Mytilus edulis: one gene and its partner. The protein of the gene in region 1 purifies or fractionates together with the protein of each later gene. This does not show direct contact. Links are inferred from orthologs where the notes say so. Each region holds a gene or a part of one and is shown on either strand. Other genes may lie near its edges.

Region 1 (9,169 bases):
AAGTGTCACTTTTGACCACTGAATATCTGGGTATTCATGTAATATTTCTAATCAACTAGAATTAAATTTGCATGTTTTACATATTTGTTTTTAGAAACTGACTGATTATCATAAAGTAAGATTTATTTATTAATAATCTAGTTTTATACAATATTTGATAAATAGGAAAGTTTGAAGTGTAATTATATATATATTTAAAAAAGTATTTTTCCTTATTCTTGTAAGGTAACCAAATTTAAAGAACTAACATCATCTTTGTCTTGTGGTCCCATTTTGGCAAGTATCTGACCAAGAGTTTTCTCCCTTTTCTGTAAAGCTTCCATTCTTTCATAGATAAAATACTTTGGAATTGGTATTTCTACATCATTCTGGAAAAAAAACCTCATAATTAATTTCTGTCTGCTAATATGTGTATACCCTTTTTACAAATCAAGTGGACTTTTACAGACAAAATATTTTAAATCTGTAGAACAATCAAACACATATTCATTAAAACTTTCATCTGAAATTAGAGAATTTTGTTTATTTAAATGCTCTATCAACTGTTAAAATCAAAAAGAGAAATAATTTGGAAAATTTCTTAAAATTGATAGGCAAACAATACATATGGAATCTGATGTTCATTAGTTGTCGTTTGTTGGTGTGATTCATAAGTGTTTCTCCTTATTCATATAGATCAGTCTGTTGGTTTTCCAGTTTGAATGATTTTACACTAGTAATTTTTCAGGCTGTTTATCGCTTGCTGTTCAGTGTGAGCCATGGCTCTGTGTTGAAGACCGTACTTTTACCAGTCACCTTTAATGGTTTACTTTAATGAATTGTGACTTGGATGAAGAGTTTTCTCATGGGCAATGATACCACATCTTCTTATATCTATTTGGATCTTTATTTATCTTTTTAACCATTTATGAGATAGTTGTACATACTGGTGTCAACTTTAAATCTGATAAGACATCATCAAAGTAGTGGTATTCTGAGAACTCAAGGTTGACCATTTCATGTTTCAGTTCTAAAATTCTCCCCATAGCTCCATCCAGAACATGACGTAAAACTCTTCTTTTCTGTGGGTGGACAATCTGATCATATGACTGCTCTAATTTACGGAATATTTGTATATATTTTATATACATGGTGGCTAGCAACTGGAATGCTGCCAAACGATCCTAAAATAAAATTGTAATATGCATTGTATAACTAACTTGTAATATTTTTTTTAATAGAGTATGTCATCAAAAGTGGTAAACAAGTCAAAGGTCAACATAGCATACAAGGTCTGATAACAAGAAAATGCATTATGACTGTGACTGTATGTTGTTTAGGACTAAAATATTGCCTTCCTCCAAAATTGTACCAATAAACTGTATACATGGTATATAAAATATAGAAAAATATTCAACTTTTTATTTTCCTATTTGTATGGATTTATTTGGAAAATATAAATACTTTCTAACCAAATGCATGATTTAATTTCATGATTTTCAAAATGATATAATTTACATTCAAGGAACATGAGGAAAGATACAAGTTTAACATACATTGAATTACTTTTTTTCAGCTTTGAAAAATCACACACAAAAAAATTCACCCACCTCAATTAGTTGGTTTATTTATGTATTACAGTTTCTGTTTATGCAATATGAATGTTAGGATGATATGTAGTACAAACCTTTTCTGGTTTTGGTGGCTCTTCTGGGATTTCCTGTTGCAGGAGATCCTGCAAGGCTGATTGTCCCTCTCCCCATTGTTTGTTGTAGGTGCTAAGAAAGAAAAAGAAAAAATACACAGTCTACATAACATTGCTTGTACATATATATATATATATATATATATATATATATATATATATATATAAGTGTAATTACCTGTCAACCAACAGTTCAGATCTCAGTATGTCTAAGCTGACATAGAATCTTATTTCAGTGCTTTAAGGTATAAATTTAATTAGAATTCTATGAACCCTTTACAGGTTACACAGTCAGACCTGTTATATTAAATAGACATGTTTTGACAGTTATTCATCATGTTCATAGTGACATTTATAAAATCTTAATTCCTGGAACAATTTAATATACAGTGAAACCTGTCCAAACCGAACACCCTCAGGACTTTGCGTTTTGTTCGGTTTTCACAGGTGTTCAGATTATAGAGGTAAACGGAAGTCGACACCAAAATAATTTTGGCATTTACTAACCAGGGATAATAGGTGACACAATAGACAACAGTTTATTCTTGTGTTGATTTAGATGTAAATGTAAAAATAAAAGAAGATGAAGATAGACGTTTTGCTACATTTTTGTTTTTGATCGATGGGGTAGCTGACCAGTTTAACGTATCTTTACAAAAAAATCACTTTATACATGAACACAGACATGCTAATTAGTTTGTAATAACAACTCACAAGTTCATTAAACCTCAAATACCTTCGGGGATACTCTGCCATTCCGTGTTTGTTTAATTAAATCATGCAAATAATTAATAATGTTTATTGTTTTTATTGGTATTGATCGATTTTGACAGGTAATTTTTAGATACAAATTTACTAACGAGCCTTCAAAAAGCGTTCGGAATTCGGTGTTGACAGGGTTCGTTTTTTTCAGGTTAAATTAACGTTAATTGATAGGGAAATTTTGTGGGACTTTGAACATTGTTCGGTTTCAACTGAAATTCGGTTTTATCGGGGTTCGGTTTACCCAGGTTTCACTGTACTTAATATATATCAGAATAATCAAGTCTTGTGCCAACATGGCCAATCTTTCAATACAATAAAAAAAATTCATCTGCTAATGGCGCAGTAATGGTACAAATAAAAATGTTTATGATTGATCACATGTAACGTTGTTAATCCTCAGTAAAGTTAAGGTCTGCAGTCCTGGAACAATACATCTAAATACTGCTATTCCCACTTGACCCGGGAATCTGTCCCACTTTAATTTTCAACGTCATACAACAATCCCTTTTCCATTGTAGCTTCAAAATTTTTCTATTATGACAACTTTTGAGACGTCTAGTAATGGTGGACAAATAGGAATCCGGGTCCGTTCGCACCCAATCACATTCGCACCAATTCACATGCGCCCCCTTTCACTTTCGCACCCCACATGTTTGCACCCAGTCTGTTCACGCCCAATTTTACTGAGTTTTGGAAGGTGTATTGATATAAATATATATGTCATTGCTTCTTAATAATTTGAGATTCTGACAAGTTTTTTTTTGTATCATGGTAAGTTTATTGCTACATGTATGAAAAAAAAAAATCATTGTTTTAATTAAAGTGTGATTCTGTGATTCTGGCAACAAGTATTTCAATTTTGTGTTGAATAATTCTTAATGTTTCTAAATAAAGTGAGATTATGACAACGTTCTGTATGTGTTTATAAAATCTTAATCATGTTTTGGATAGTGTATGGCTTGAAATATTTTGTTTATGAATAAAGTGAGATTCTGACATCGTTTTTTTTTTGTGTGGTTGTTGAATACATCTTAAATCAATTGCAATCCAGGGCATTTATTTATTGCGTTAGTTTCATATATTTTATTCGTCCTTATATCATATATTTCATATATTTTATTTGTCCTTATATCATACATTCTTACAATTATTCAAAACAAACATCATAAATATCAACAGTAAAGAACTTAAGTTTAAGGGGGCTAGCGGGTCTAAATCAATTTTTTTATTTAATATAGGATTTCGCTATATTTTGGGGTCACATTCATTTACGCTCACAATGCCTTCGAAAGAAACATACATTTTTGTAAATGTCCTTTTTTTCTGTTGAACTAATAGGAGAAATAGCGGTAATATCGAAATAAAAAAAGAACTAAATTACAGAAATGCCTTAAATTTTACAATTATTTAGTTTATGTACAGCTTATTCGAAAACAACAATAAAAAATATAGGTCACCGATGAGTTAAAAAAGATATTTCATTTTTAATGCCAAAAAATGGCATTTTTGCACCAAAAAGGAGATAATTTGGAGCTTTTTCAATGATAACTACATTTTAAAAGTCGCCTTGGGCCAACAGGAATTGATTTTTTGGAATAATTTTTGAACCATATGATAAAGTAACAACTACTTAAGATATTTAATAAAATTTGTAAAGAAAATTAAATGTTTCATTTTTTTCTGAAAATCTTATAAATACATTTGTACCCGCGACCCTCCTTAGGCTCATCCTATCATGCACCATTCTAAAGAAAAAATACAGCACTTAAATATTCAGAGGTCTCACTAAATTAATTAGCGACAAGAAGAATAAATTTAGCGAAAATGTGAGATGCGAAAGTGTATTGGGTGCAAACGGACCTGATACCGACAAAAAGCGATAAGGTGTATTTGACAAAAGTCACGTGTAAAGAAAAAATCTCTGTGTAGTAATATTGGTAATGGACATGTTTCTATTTTTAACAAATGACTGAACTTAATTATTTGTGGTGATAAGGAAAGTAGAGGAACATAGAAATAAATGTGTAAAAACTATGGAGCTATTGAATGTGTTCAAAGTATTAAATTTTCAAAGAACTTATTGTGTTAAAAAGGGGATATTTTACCACAAGGAGCCGCATCACAAAAGGATGTTCGGGGTTTGCTAATTTACGGAAAAAGTACATGTAATCTCACTTCGTACCCCGAAAAATTTAACCACATATGTGAAAATGTCACAGCTTCGTAACGAGCTATCATACATATCCAAGTTTACAATATGGACTGAGCTACAGGAAAAAACGTTACCATTACCGCCTATGTAAAAACAATTAAAGATATTGAGCCAAGTGACGAATGTCATATGTAAACAAATGATCCTCATAGAAACGAAGATGGCGGAATTACAATAGAAAACATTCTGGAAAATGTGAAGGTCAGGATTATTACAGTGTGATCACTTAAAAGGTAGGTCAGTAGTCATGGTAGTGGTTTTTCTTTTTGTGATTTATGAATGGAATGTGAAAAACTATATCTCGAGTGAACCCATTTGATAGTTTAGATTATTTTTACCGATAACCACTACGAATTTCAGCTGACGGCGACTATAAAAACGTTGACATTAAATATCACCCACGTCAGAAGATGTGTTACTTCCAAAATTAAAAATTATAGGAGTACAAGAAACAAGCAATTTGCATGGCTTTCAAGAGTTCTTTTACTTGAGAGGTCCCAACATTTTATCAACAAACAGACAAATGTTTTTATGATCAACTTGAAAAATTAATTAAGTGCAATCAAAACCCTTGCCAATGGTAAAACATGCGATGCTTTGGTATTTCAAAGCAATTACTGACTTGTAAAATTCAAATATTCATAGAATTAAGAATTAAGTGGATAAACAAACCTGTGAGACATCCTCAAACTAACAGAAAATAATGCAGATTACAAATTTTACGCCATGATGTTTGTGTTTCTATAACAACGTTTAAATCTCGCTTACAAATCCTTGCCGAGATTATGAATTGTCATCGATCTTAGTCAAATTATCGTTTTTAGCAACTGATATTAACGATAGCTTACAAGACATTTAATGACTAAGAAGGTCACTTTCGAGAATATTGCAACTTTTTTTATCTTCATAATTTAAGATATAGTAAAGGTTTGTGTTTAGAGTCATCGTGAAATAAACCTAGAAACACAAAAAGTACATAGGGAAACTGAAAAATCAACAGGTCGGTACACATTAGAAAAAGTCAATAAGCCAATATGAAACAGGAAGGCAAAACCTCTTTTCGACATTCATTCAAAATTTAATCTATTTTTCTCCTTCACGAAATGGTCTTACTTTTGAATGTAGATTCTCCAATCTGAAACTTGGTTTGCCACCATTCACGTAGACCCCTTTCATTAAAAAAAATTTATAACAGCATTCATCATGTTCATATACATATATGAGGGTGGTAAAGGGGGGTAGCTTGCACGAGAAAAACGTGAAATAATTTCTGTAATGAACGTTGCACGAAAAATAAATACTTTTATGTGAACCTTTTATGACTGAATCACTGTCTTCTTGTATATATTAACTCTTTGTTTTACTTGATTTTCCCAATTTAGTATACACATTAATGTTATAATTGGTTTACGGCGTTTAAAAAAGTATTTCTTGAAGATCCCTGCCAAGTGTTTGAATTTTATTTGAAAAATACCGAGCACGCAAAATAAGACTTTGAAAATCACGATGCACGTAAAATTAAATAAGCAGAACACGTTGAACGAGGCACCCGTCTTGCACGACTGAACGTCAAATAAAAAAGTAAAAACACGTTGAACGTGAAATAAAAAACGGCGATCACGTTGCACGAAAATAACCCTTTACCACCCTCATATATTCTTGTTAATAAAATTGCTTGTTTAAGGGCATATGATAAAATACACCTTATCGCTATTTGTCTGTCATTACTGAAAATCACACAGGTTGCCGTAAAATTTTGACGTCATAAAACAAAATATCTGATGCCACAATGGAAAAGTGATTGTTGTATGCTTCAAAAGTTCAAGCGGCCGGGTCAGCCAGGATTAGTGATAAGGTGTATAACAGGGAGGTTAAATGTGAAATGTTATTTTTGCGACATCAGACTGACATATCATAGAAAAGATGCATTTTTTGACTGATTTTCATCATTCAAACTGATTTAATTTGAAAACGAGTTCATGGACACCTCTTTTGTTAAAAGACATTTGGTTTCCTTACAAATGAAGATTATTTTTACCAATTTCAAGAGAGTGTCAATATTGCAAATTTTTTAAATTTGATAAATATACAGCAAAAACTGAGTTTTTTTCTACATTCATGAATATTTGATAAATATGTCATTTTGTATGTGTTATTTGTATAATATAAATGCATTAATATAAAGAACATTTATATAAAACAGAACTTACAGATAATTTAACAAAAAACAGCTTGTGTTTATCTTTTAAAATAAAAAAAGTTATGGATTTCTTTCAACATGTTCAAAAGGAAAAATACGTCCACAAATCTGAATTTTGTGCTAATATCTGAAATTTCAACCTCATTTTACTCAAAAAGTAGCACATGAAGGTATATATATTTTATTACATATTTGATTTAATCAGGTTAAAAATAGCCTATATGCAATTTTTCATCAAAATTTCAAAATGGGATCAAAACTGAATCATATGCCCTTTATAATCAGATTGGTTACACTTTTTGATAATTTTAATATTATAAACTATCATGACTATGTCTGCATACATGACACAATTGCACAGTCTGTTCCAAACTGTATTAAAGTTTGACTGACCGAAAAAGAAATTTGACCTTTTCTTCTATATTTTCAACTAGAAAAAACTAAAAATTTCTATGTGAATAAATGAAATTTTGTCAGACAATAAGTTGGTCAGACAGAGTTACGGATACACTGATCATGCTGATTACAGTAAACATACAGGGGCCTTGGTGACCGAGTGGTCTAAGTTGTTACTACTGTAATCACTAGCCATTCGACACTGAGGTTGTGAGCTTGAACCCTGCTCTTTCGGGTGCCCTGGACTCCAATCTTAATTGAGTAGGATTGTCAGTTTTCCTATTGCAGGTCAATGGTTTTCTCTAGGCACTCTGGCTTCCTCCACTAATGAAAAATGGCTGCCACGAAGTAGCCTAAATGTGGTGCTCAAAAGTGGCGTTAAAACACCAAAAATCAAATCTGTAAACACATGTTAGAAAGGGAAAAAACTTCCGCTAAACAATTATACAACATATATAATTAAAAATAACGACATTTATTGTTTATGTTCATGATGTTTCAGATGTTCAGCTAATAAAATCAGTTATATATATGTATATATGTATATATACAATTGTAAAAAAGAAATAGTTTTATTACAGCCATGGTTGGAATACTGTGGTCAGGTATAGCTGGGTATCTATATGTTGAAATAACAATAGCTGTTATACTTATGTTACCATTTGTATCAGCACAAAGGTAAGAGTGTCAGATGTGTATTCCGTAGCTTTCACATGCAAAAAGTTCAGTTTGCATGCAAAATGCTATTCTCAAGAAAATTCACTTTTGAATGGTATTTGCTTAACTTTTCCATACAGTCATATATAAAACCATTTTGTAATTTTTTCATGATATGAATATCTCAAACTAAGCTTTATTAAAAAGAAAAAGAATTGTGCATAGTTATTTGTCAATCTAGCCATGCTAGCTAAAATGAGCTATAGGCTGTCAAATACCAAAATTAAAAAAAGGCAACTTGTTAAGTTGTTTAAAAAACATTTGTTGATTTTCTAGTTGTTTTCTATGTACAGAAATTTTGAGATCAGAACAATAAACATGTCATGAAAATTTGACATCATTATAATCATCTTTTAGATTTGATAGAGTGCATTTATTTATAATTTATGAGTTGGAAATTAATATTGTACTACAATTTTTTTCATTATAGAATAGCTTTAAAAAGAAAATAATTGAGCTTTTTTAAAATATTGTATTTGAACTCAAAACTGTTTTTCTAGTATTATAGTAATTAATAAATATGCAGCAATTATATGACATGTACATGTATGAACATGAAAAATATTTTCTAGTAATTATAGTAATTAATATAAATGTGCAGCTATTATATAATTTGGCTTATTATCTGAAATTTAAACACAAATCATGTCCTATGCATTTTTTTAGTAGCACTCTTGTGAAAGAATTTGGTACAAATAATTTCTAACAATGAATGAAATGGATTATTATTGTCCTGCATTATGACCTTTAGTTTTCTTCCTGTACAGATTTAACAATGACTGGTATAATATGGACTTCCATTTCGGGGTTTATGTATCTTGAAATATTTGTATCGGTAATTTTATTGATACCATATATTTCTCCATCTAGGTAAGCACTGATCTTTACAGCATTCATTAGTGGCAGCTACTGTACATATTGACTTCTACAAAACCCATGTGGCCTTTTAATCTGGTAAAAATTAATCTGTTGCTGTGTTGAAGAACCATTGGCTGTTTGTTTTTTTACTCTTTGGTTTGGTTGTTGTCCTCTTTGACATATTCCCCATTTCCATTCTTGATTTTATTAAAAATCAATTTAAAATTATTAAAAAATATACTGTAGAAACTCATTGAAAACCACATTAGTTTTAAAGGAGTCAATGATGCTTTAAGCAAAATTAGATAACTAACATTGCATCATGTTCATGAATTAT
Region 2 (8,768 bases), on another chromosome or scaffold:
AAATCTTTTCATGCTCAATTTAATGAATTTGATACAATGATACAATGAAAAGACCACTAAAAGCTACAACAATGTTTTGAGTGTAACATAACTTAAATTTACTATTTTCAATAGACTTTTTATGAAGAGCTTGTGTATAATAACTATGTGATCTTGTGAATGCAATAACTACATGAAGTCACTGTTGATCAATTTATTTATATATATATTCATAATAATTATAAATAACCAAAAATGTATTAACGTGTCTTAGGTATAACTATTTTTTATAACTGTACCAAAAGAGAAATGGGCTAATAACATTTTTGGGCTATTCTCTACTTTAAAATGTTGAGGTAGCCAGGCATTGGTAAAGATTATGTCTTAATTATTTTTTCAAGCAATTAAACAGAAAGTCGGCCTTATATTGGAGGTGTTAAAACTTTATCTATGAGTAAAAGTCCTGGGCTTTCTTCAAGCTTTTACACATTATGCAAGTTGTCCAGTTGTAAATCAAGTCTATCTGTTTTGATTGTTATTATTTATATTCAAAAGTCATTCAGCCATTCTGCATTAAAGATGGTCCTTGAACAACAGTTATAAAACAGTTTTGAGCCCAGGGCCTGAAAAGTGATGAAAATGCATGGATTTGGAATCAATTAGAAAGTAAATCTCTATCCGAGTTTTCTTTTCTGGTCATCCAAACACTGATTAACAACTTCTATCAAATGACTGTTCTCCAAAGCTGCAGCTACTCTTTCTTTGTCTGCTAATTGTTTGTTTACTGAAAATATAAAATCAATTATTGTAAAAGTACCATCTTATATCGACAGGGGTTCAAATGAGTGTGGGTCAAAGGTCGACGAACAGTCTTTACTATGAAGATTCTAAATCTACATAACAAAGGAAGATGACGTTCATTTTTTATACTGTTATGGGACTGTTGACTTTATAGAAAGGTCCTTTTACTTCAAAATTGAAATGGTCCCAAATAGTTCATTACTTAAAGAGAGAGTTAAACAACTGCAGTCAGTTGTACGAACATGTTATTAGCCTAATGTGTCATTAAGTCTTCATTAGCCTAATGTATCACAAGGGCTTAATGAAGACTTAACAAGTGAAACTGCGAGCTACTGCTCACTGATGATACCCCGCCGCAAGTGGATAATATTAATAGTGTAAAAATATGCAAGTGTTCGGTAAACAGGAAGTTGTCGAGTGATGAACTGAAAACGCATCACACGGTATAGCTGACTTATATAAATCCTGAAACCAAATTTCAGAAATCCTTGTATTGTAGTTCCTGAGAAAAATGTGACGAAAATTTTCAACTTGGCTATCATGTGTAAAATCAGACAAGTGTTCGGTAAACAGGAAGTTGTCAAGTGATGAATCTGAAAACGCATCACATATATAAATGTTGATACCAAATTACAGAAAGGGTGGATGTGTAGTTCCTGAGAAAAATGTGACGAAAGTTTCATGGGACGGACTGACTGACGGACGGACTGATGGACTGACAGACAGAGGTAAAACAGTATACCCCCCCTTTTTTAAAGCGGGGGTATAATAAAGCGGGGGTATAATAAAGCGGGGGTATAATTACATGTTCGTACAACCGGCTGCAGACATTTTATTTATATTATAGATGAAAAATTATTATATATGTTCTTTTAAAACATATAGAACTTTGAACACAAAAAATTCCAATTGAAAATGGTAGATAACAAAATGTTCAGACAGAAAATGGTATTTGACTTTTTTCTGATTCCAGTAATATTGGTGACAAGTTTCAATTTGTTTAAGAATGTTTGGCAATAGATAAAAGCAAACAAACGCTTTTAGTGCATCATTTTTCAAACACACCAAAATATCAAGATCTTGTGAATAGCAGCAGCAAGACTGGATTAAACAAATTTATACAATAATAACTGAATGCTTAGAATTTCCTTGGTGAGCCTATGTCTATATACTTTACATTTGAAATTAGAAATTTTTAACATCAACATTTTATAACAAAGTTACCTGCTTCTTCCGATGCATGTGCTCCAGGTGTTATTGAAACATCTACCTGCAATTAAAAAATTACATGATCTGACAGGAGTGAAAATCTTGTTGATAATTTTTGCAATTTTTCTATTTATCATTGTTTTTCAGATATGACAATCAGATGCTCCACAGGGCACAGCTTTATATGACTGCTAAGGTGAAACCCTGAACTGAGATATACTGTTTAGCTATTAATATTTTAATTATTTTTGTCTTTAATATCTTTTAAGAGAGCAGCAAAATATTCATATGAACCCAAAGCACAAAGTGTATTATTTTCAAATAAAAACTTCTGATACTTTTCTTTTTCTATCAGCTAAATCATTGATACATTACAAGAAACTCATAAAAATGCTATATAAGGTCTTGCAATGCTCTTGCTCCAATAAAAAATCCTCAGCTTACCAATAACAAGGATTTGTATAGTATAGTCTTACTATACAAATCCTTGCCAATAACTTTTTTGAAATTAAGTTTTTTTATTTTTAAGGATGTTTTTCTGTGGCTTTATGTTACATTTTTGATACCTTGAATCTTGGTGGCAGAGATCTTAGAAGTTTAACCCGAATAGACAATCCAATCAATGTTGCCATACTACAGTGTGGAATTGTGGGTGTAAATTCTATCGTCACTTTGTTAGCATCATCATCTACCTGAAAGAAAAATTCACATAACATTATGGTGCATATAATTCTAATGAAATGTACAACTTCTATTCACGGCTGTCTGCTCTTTGGTCGGGTTGTTGTCTCTATGACATATTCTCCATTTCCATTCTCAATTTAATCAATCTGAATAAAGTTAGATATTTCACTATAGCTCTTTTGAGATTTTTCCTGCGACTTGTCTGAAAACATCCAATATGGGAAATCAAGCACTGATTAACATGATTAATGATGTAATGTATTTATAATTATTATTTCCACTTGCAGACTCAAAACAGTCTCTTGAAAATATATCTTGAAGTTATGATTTTATTTCATCTGATTTTAATTTTCTTTTAGATATCTCTTGAATTCAAATGAGGGTTACGGACATTCAATTGCCAATACACTATATTTCTTTTTAGTTCTTAAATTTGTTTATGTTCCCACTCAAGGTGAGTCTTTTTTACAGCAGATACTTTATAAAAGGTTAAATAATGAACAATGTAGCTCAGAAGACAGTTATCCAGAAACACATCACATTATGCTTGTAAGATTAAAATAAATGACATTACTAGCATCTACTGTAAATTCAGTAATTATTGCATGCATTTATTATTGCAATTTTTGTCAATTTAGACTACAATGTGATTTTATTTTTTTGCCATATTGAGAAAAATCCTGTTTAATTTAAGGAAAAATTTCAAAATGCGAATTTAAATTATTGCTATTATAACCCTGTCCCATTTTTCACAATAATAAAATCATCGCAATAATTTCTGAATTTACAGTAATCTTTTTTATTCAGTTGATAGTAATATACTTACAATAACTTTGCTTTGCTCAACAACATTCAATTCCTCTAATGTCAGTGGATGTTCAGGGTCATTTATAACACGGATCAAATCTGAAATAAACATATTATTTAACTATATGCTACAGTTATGGTAAAGATAATTGATTAAAGTATCAATCAGAAATAAAAAATAAAGACTTAGAAATTTGCCCCCTGGCTCAATATGTGAATAGATATAAGAAGCTGTGGTATCAGTGCCAATGAGATCACTGTCCATCCAAGTCACAATTTGTAAAAGTAAACCATTATAGGTCAAAGAACGGTCTTCAACACAGAACTTTCGCTCACAATGAATGACAAGCTTTAAAGGGCCTCAAATATGACTAGTGTTAAACCATTCAAATGGTGAAGTATTGTCAACTATTAGAAGTTGATCAAGAAAGTAATTTATAAATATATATCTTTATGCTTTCAAAGGCATCAACTGTCATGGATTGATTTCATGGGTTTTACAATTGCTTTAGCGACTATAATCATGATAGTGAATGTGTATAGTTGTGAAACTTAAACCTAAACTACAACAAAGTATAACAAAAGAGATGATTTACATTTTCCCATAGTGACCTTTCCATATATCTGTGGAGCATGATAATCATATGATGAGCCTATATATCTCCCAATAGATACAATATCTCAGTGCTTGCAATTGGAACATCATTAGATAGTTAAGAGGCATTGTCACTTCCTACCAAATTATATGTTGAGGAAGAGGTTGAAAAAAATATGCTGATGTATTGCACAATTTATTCTGTATTCAGGGAATTGTGATAATAGTATTACGGAACAAACTTTATTTCCGGTTTATGCGGCAAAATGACAATTATAAAGACGCTTGATGAATTTAGATAGAGCAGAGATACATGGGATCCTATATATGGTAAATGATGTCATAAAGGTGCACATAATCAATTGACAATCTTTTCCAATGAAGGACATAACTGGAAGTAGAAAGTGGTCTATTGAGATATTTTGTATTGTAATGGCATGATAGGGGTTGGTAGTGTTTTTGATGTGTAAGGCAATATGTCGAAGTTAGGAGTCAAAGAAAAAAATTATAATGGCCTTTCAAGACGTCATAATCATTTAATTGGCCTAGGCAATATTATGCAGTGTTTAAGCACAGGCACTCGTCTCAAAAAAAAAATCCTATATACCTTTAGAAAAAAAAATCTGAGACGAGTGCCTGTGTGTTTTATAAGGGTGACAAGACAGACCTGGCAATACAGTTTTAATTTAAATGTTTACTAAAGTTGCAGCTTTAGCAAGTGGTACCCATGACATGGTTCTGATTTAGTCAGCTGTCGTATTATTTAGTTTATCTTACCAAAAACTTCTCTTGTATCTATTTTGTCTGTAACACTTTCATCTTCTTCCTCTGGTAAGACCGGTCTCTCAGAACCAACTTCGTATATTGTAGGATTTGCATTGTCTAAATCATTTTGGGACATTTTGAAGTGAATTTCATGCTAATCCGGAAAAATATTAAGGGGAGTAACTCTGTTCGTCCGTTTCGAATTTTATAAGTTTTCTTTCATTTCCGGGACATTCACGAAATCTCGACTTTTGCAAAATGACGAAAGTTTTCAGAGAAGCCGACGTAAAGAACAACACTGATAAAACAAAGACTCTTATGATCATTCATGATAATGTTTATGATGTTTCAAAGTTTCTTGAAGAGGTAAGTTATGATGGGCAGATGGTTTTAAAGACTTGACATTCACATTGGGACACATAATCATAAAGGTCAAGATGTAGGACGTACGAAACAAAAATTGAAAGGATAAATTATGGACAAATGAAAGAAATTCATCATTCGGCATGTTCAAAGCTAATACATGATAATAATTTTATATTAAAATGTAAATTTTATTGTACTATAATATTCCTGTGTATAATTTATGAATGGGTAAAACTGCAGTTCTGTATCAATCCACATTTTAACCTTTATATACAAGTACCATATGACATCATACTCAACACACTTAAACAAATCTTTCACAATTTAATTCTAAGTTAAAATAGCTATATTTTCCTGTAAAGTTCTTGGTCCCATTTACTATGTCCCAATTTTGATGTTAACAAAATAAAAATTAAAACAAAAATCAACAAAATGTTTAGACTCCCCTTACCGGTGCTTGATAACGAAATAAAGGGTCTAAAATTGAACATTGAATTCTTGGGGTTCTATGTTATGCTGAATCTAACCATGTATTTAGATTTTGGATATTGGACCATAAATAGGTAAATGTCTAATTTAAATTTTTTTGGAAAGATAAGAACTTGTTTTAAATCTTTACTCTAAAGGCACTGGCCTCCCTAACAACACTACAGGTTAGCTACCTTTACTAAATGTTTTCACACTGAAATATAGTTCCCTATAGTTCTCATGTATGTGCACATAATACACATATAAACTGAAAAAAATGGGTATATTTTTGGAGCAGTTCATTTAAGAATGTATATCATTAAAGTTTGTTGATGTGCAGGCTTATTTTAAAACATTTTGATTAGGTTATTGAGTATTGATACAATACTCATATGATTGACAACTGGCATTATCAACAAACAATAAGAGACAAGGTAGACCTTTAATTATAATGCCCCACCTCCTAAACTGTCAATCAAATTGACCACATTACCTTTCAACATCTGTGTTACATAATTATACTCTAATATATATGCAACTCAATATACAAATATTTGACCTCATAATTGAATACACAAATGTGTATATTAGATGTTTGATACATTTATTATTTCCTATTTCTTTTTATCTACATTATGATTATCAGGGATCTCCATGGCCTGTTTAACGATGGCGCCCCGCCATCGTTCAAATGTCTTGCGCCATCGTCAAATGACTTGCTCCATCGTTAAATTGTCTTGCGCCATCGTTAAATTGTCTTCCGCCATCGTTCAAAACTTCATCGTTTTTTTGTAGCCCGACGCCATTTTTTTTATCAATTATAATCAAATGCATGTCATTGCATAACCCTTAGGCTTTTTATGTTATAATCCAATACAGTTCTAACGCCTGGGGGGTATCCGGATTAAGATCGCTAATCACTTGTACCTGAGCTTGTACAGGTAGATCAACAAACCAGACAGGAGAATACTATCTGAGGATAGACGATCCATTTGTCGAATTAACCAAATAAGTTTCAGCAAATGATTATGATAATTTAGATTAAATTAATAAATAATCCAGTTACAAAGAAAACAGTTGAACAAGTCGAACACATGCTTTATTTTGACTTACGCAATCAGCATCCTCCTTTTTAAAGAAGTACAAAATAAGACGCAAAACAGTAAATATTATTTCATCGCAAATAACTTGAGTACTACTGTAACGATAATTTAGAATTACTTTAAAAGTTTAAAAGTAAAAATTTAAATATTTCCTGTAAAGAAATATCGTATCGTAATTCCGAATTCATTTCGTATATTACAATCAAATTGATACATCCGCGTTTCCGGTTACTTTTTTAGACTCGAAAGATGCGGCATGTTGCACAGCATCAATTTGCAAGATAAAGTCATTAAAAACCTTTTCATTTGTCAACATTTGCTTTATAAATCTCTTTAACCTTTTACATAACCCGTACGAATCGTTTTGTTGTTGCTGCAAATCAGCCATACCGGTAATGGGTTCTGAATTTGACAGTGTCCATGAAAAATAAGCTCCACATCATATGATTTTTAACCCCCATAACAATTACCAAAAATACAAAAAATCTACATGGGGACCTCCATGACAGCTTTTGGTCATTCTCAACTAAGGGGGGACCATGAAGACTTGGCATTTGAATGATTAAAAACGGCAATAAATGAAAATATTGATACTTCTAATTCTATAATGAAAATTCAAATAAATATAATTTAAATAAGCAATTGAATTAGCATGTTCACCATTCCCTGTATGGAAGAATAAAATACTTCCGATCGCGCTACACTTTACAGCGTAGTCACGGTTTGTAATGGTGAAAGTTCCTCCATCGTTCAATTTTCATCCATGGAGATCCCTGTGATTACATAAAGTGATTCTGTAAATTATGTCTGAAAGATAAATAATGGAATAACAAGATCTTATAAAAAAAAAAATGAAATATGAATATGAATATATATATATATATATATATAAGATATTCAAGTAAGGCCTATAATTTTCTTAATGAATTTCCAATAAACATCTGTAGACTGTAATTAATCAACAATTTAGATTGGTTCCCTAATTTTTTTTATCAGGATTTGGCTTGAAACAGTTTTAAAATTTTAAAACTTTTAATTATAACAAACCATTGTTTATTTAATTATTAGTTTATTCCCCATCAATCCACATTTCAATAAAAAAAAGTTTTTTTAATTTGTTTACATTGAAAAAGTACATTTTCAATGCCCTGTGTTGAAAAATACTTTAAATATTGAGACACTCTACGACTTTTAATCTTTCAATGTCATATAACCTATGTTTCACAAAACAACATTTTTAGATTATTTTTGTTGACACTTTAATGTTCTTAGCTGTTGGTCTCGATTTTATGTTCAGCACAGGCAACATTATTTGGATAAGATATAAACTGCAGTTTAAATAAAATTGTGCAAGTTAAGAGAGCCGTATTATTTAATTTGAGCTCATTTTATCCTCATACTGGAAAAACTCTTCTCCTTCTAAAGACCTGCTGTAAATGCAATTTTCTCCAATAGTGCTTTATTAATGATCATTTTCCCTCACCATACCTTAATATGAAATTATTCAAACTACTCTTCTAATCTTTCCATGAGTGATTTCCATCACTTTGATTAAGTTTAAGTTCTTAGACCACATTCATTCTGTGTCAGAAACCCATGTTGTGTCAACTATTTAATCACAATCCAAATTCAGAGCTGTATCAAGCTTAAATGTTGTGTCCAACTGTTCATACTTGCCCCAACTGTTCAGGGTTCGACCTCTGCGGTCGTATAAAGCTGCACCCTGCAGAGCATCTGGTTTCATTTTAGTTCATTTAAATGTTTTGGAGTTTTGTATTACGTCCATTTTCACTGAACTAGTACAGATTTTTATTTAGATGATGCCTACCTCTTGATTTGGAATTTTCTTGCTGCATTGAAGACCCATCGGTGGCCTTTGGCTGTTATCTGCTGTTTTGTCCGGTTGTTGTCTCTATGGCATATTCCCCATTTCCATTCTCAATTTTGAAAGTGATGAGTGTACTTGGGATAATATACTCTCTATTCATGTA

Evidence for each region.
Region 2: the proteins of B-cell receptor-associated protein 31-like (region 1) and cytochrome b5-like purify together in Homo sapiens (co-immunoprecipitation; 4 studies listed by BioGRID and IntAct, with this or other methods). This does not show direct contact. The link is inferred for Mytilus edulis from reciprocal best matches to the Homo sapiens genes BCAP31 and CYB5A.

What each region holds. Positions count from the first base shown.
Region 1 is NC_092344.1:77,903,797-77,912,965, forward strand, and holds the start of B-cell receptor-associated protein 31-like, read left to right. Parts: upstream 1-5,434; 5' UTR 5,435-5,661; intron 5,662-7,838; exon of another isoform or gene 7,839-7,840; coding exon of another isoform or gene 7,841-7,935; intron 7,936-8,741; 5' UTR 8,742-8,749; coding exon 8,750-8,844; intron 8,845-9,169. Other genes in the region: dynein regulatory complex protein 11-like, read right to left, coding at 249-368, 927-1,163, 1,667-1,757, 5,334-5,344. UniProt on the Homo sapiens protein: Functions as a chaperone protein. Is one of the most abundant endoplasmic reticulum (ER) proteins.
Region 2 is NC_092348.1:64,360,728-64,369,495, forward strand, and holds the start of cytochrome b5-like, read left to right. Parts: upstream 1-5,039; 5' UTR 5,040-5,098; coding exon 5,099-5,206; intron 5,207-8,768. Other genes in the region: cytosolic iron-sulfur assembly component 2B-like, read right to left, coding at 654-763, 2,005-2,050, 2,556-2,681, 3,500-3,579, 4,853-4,976.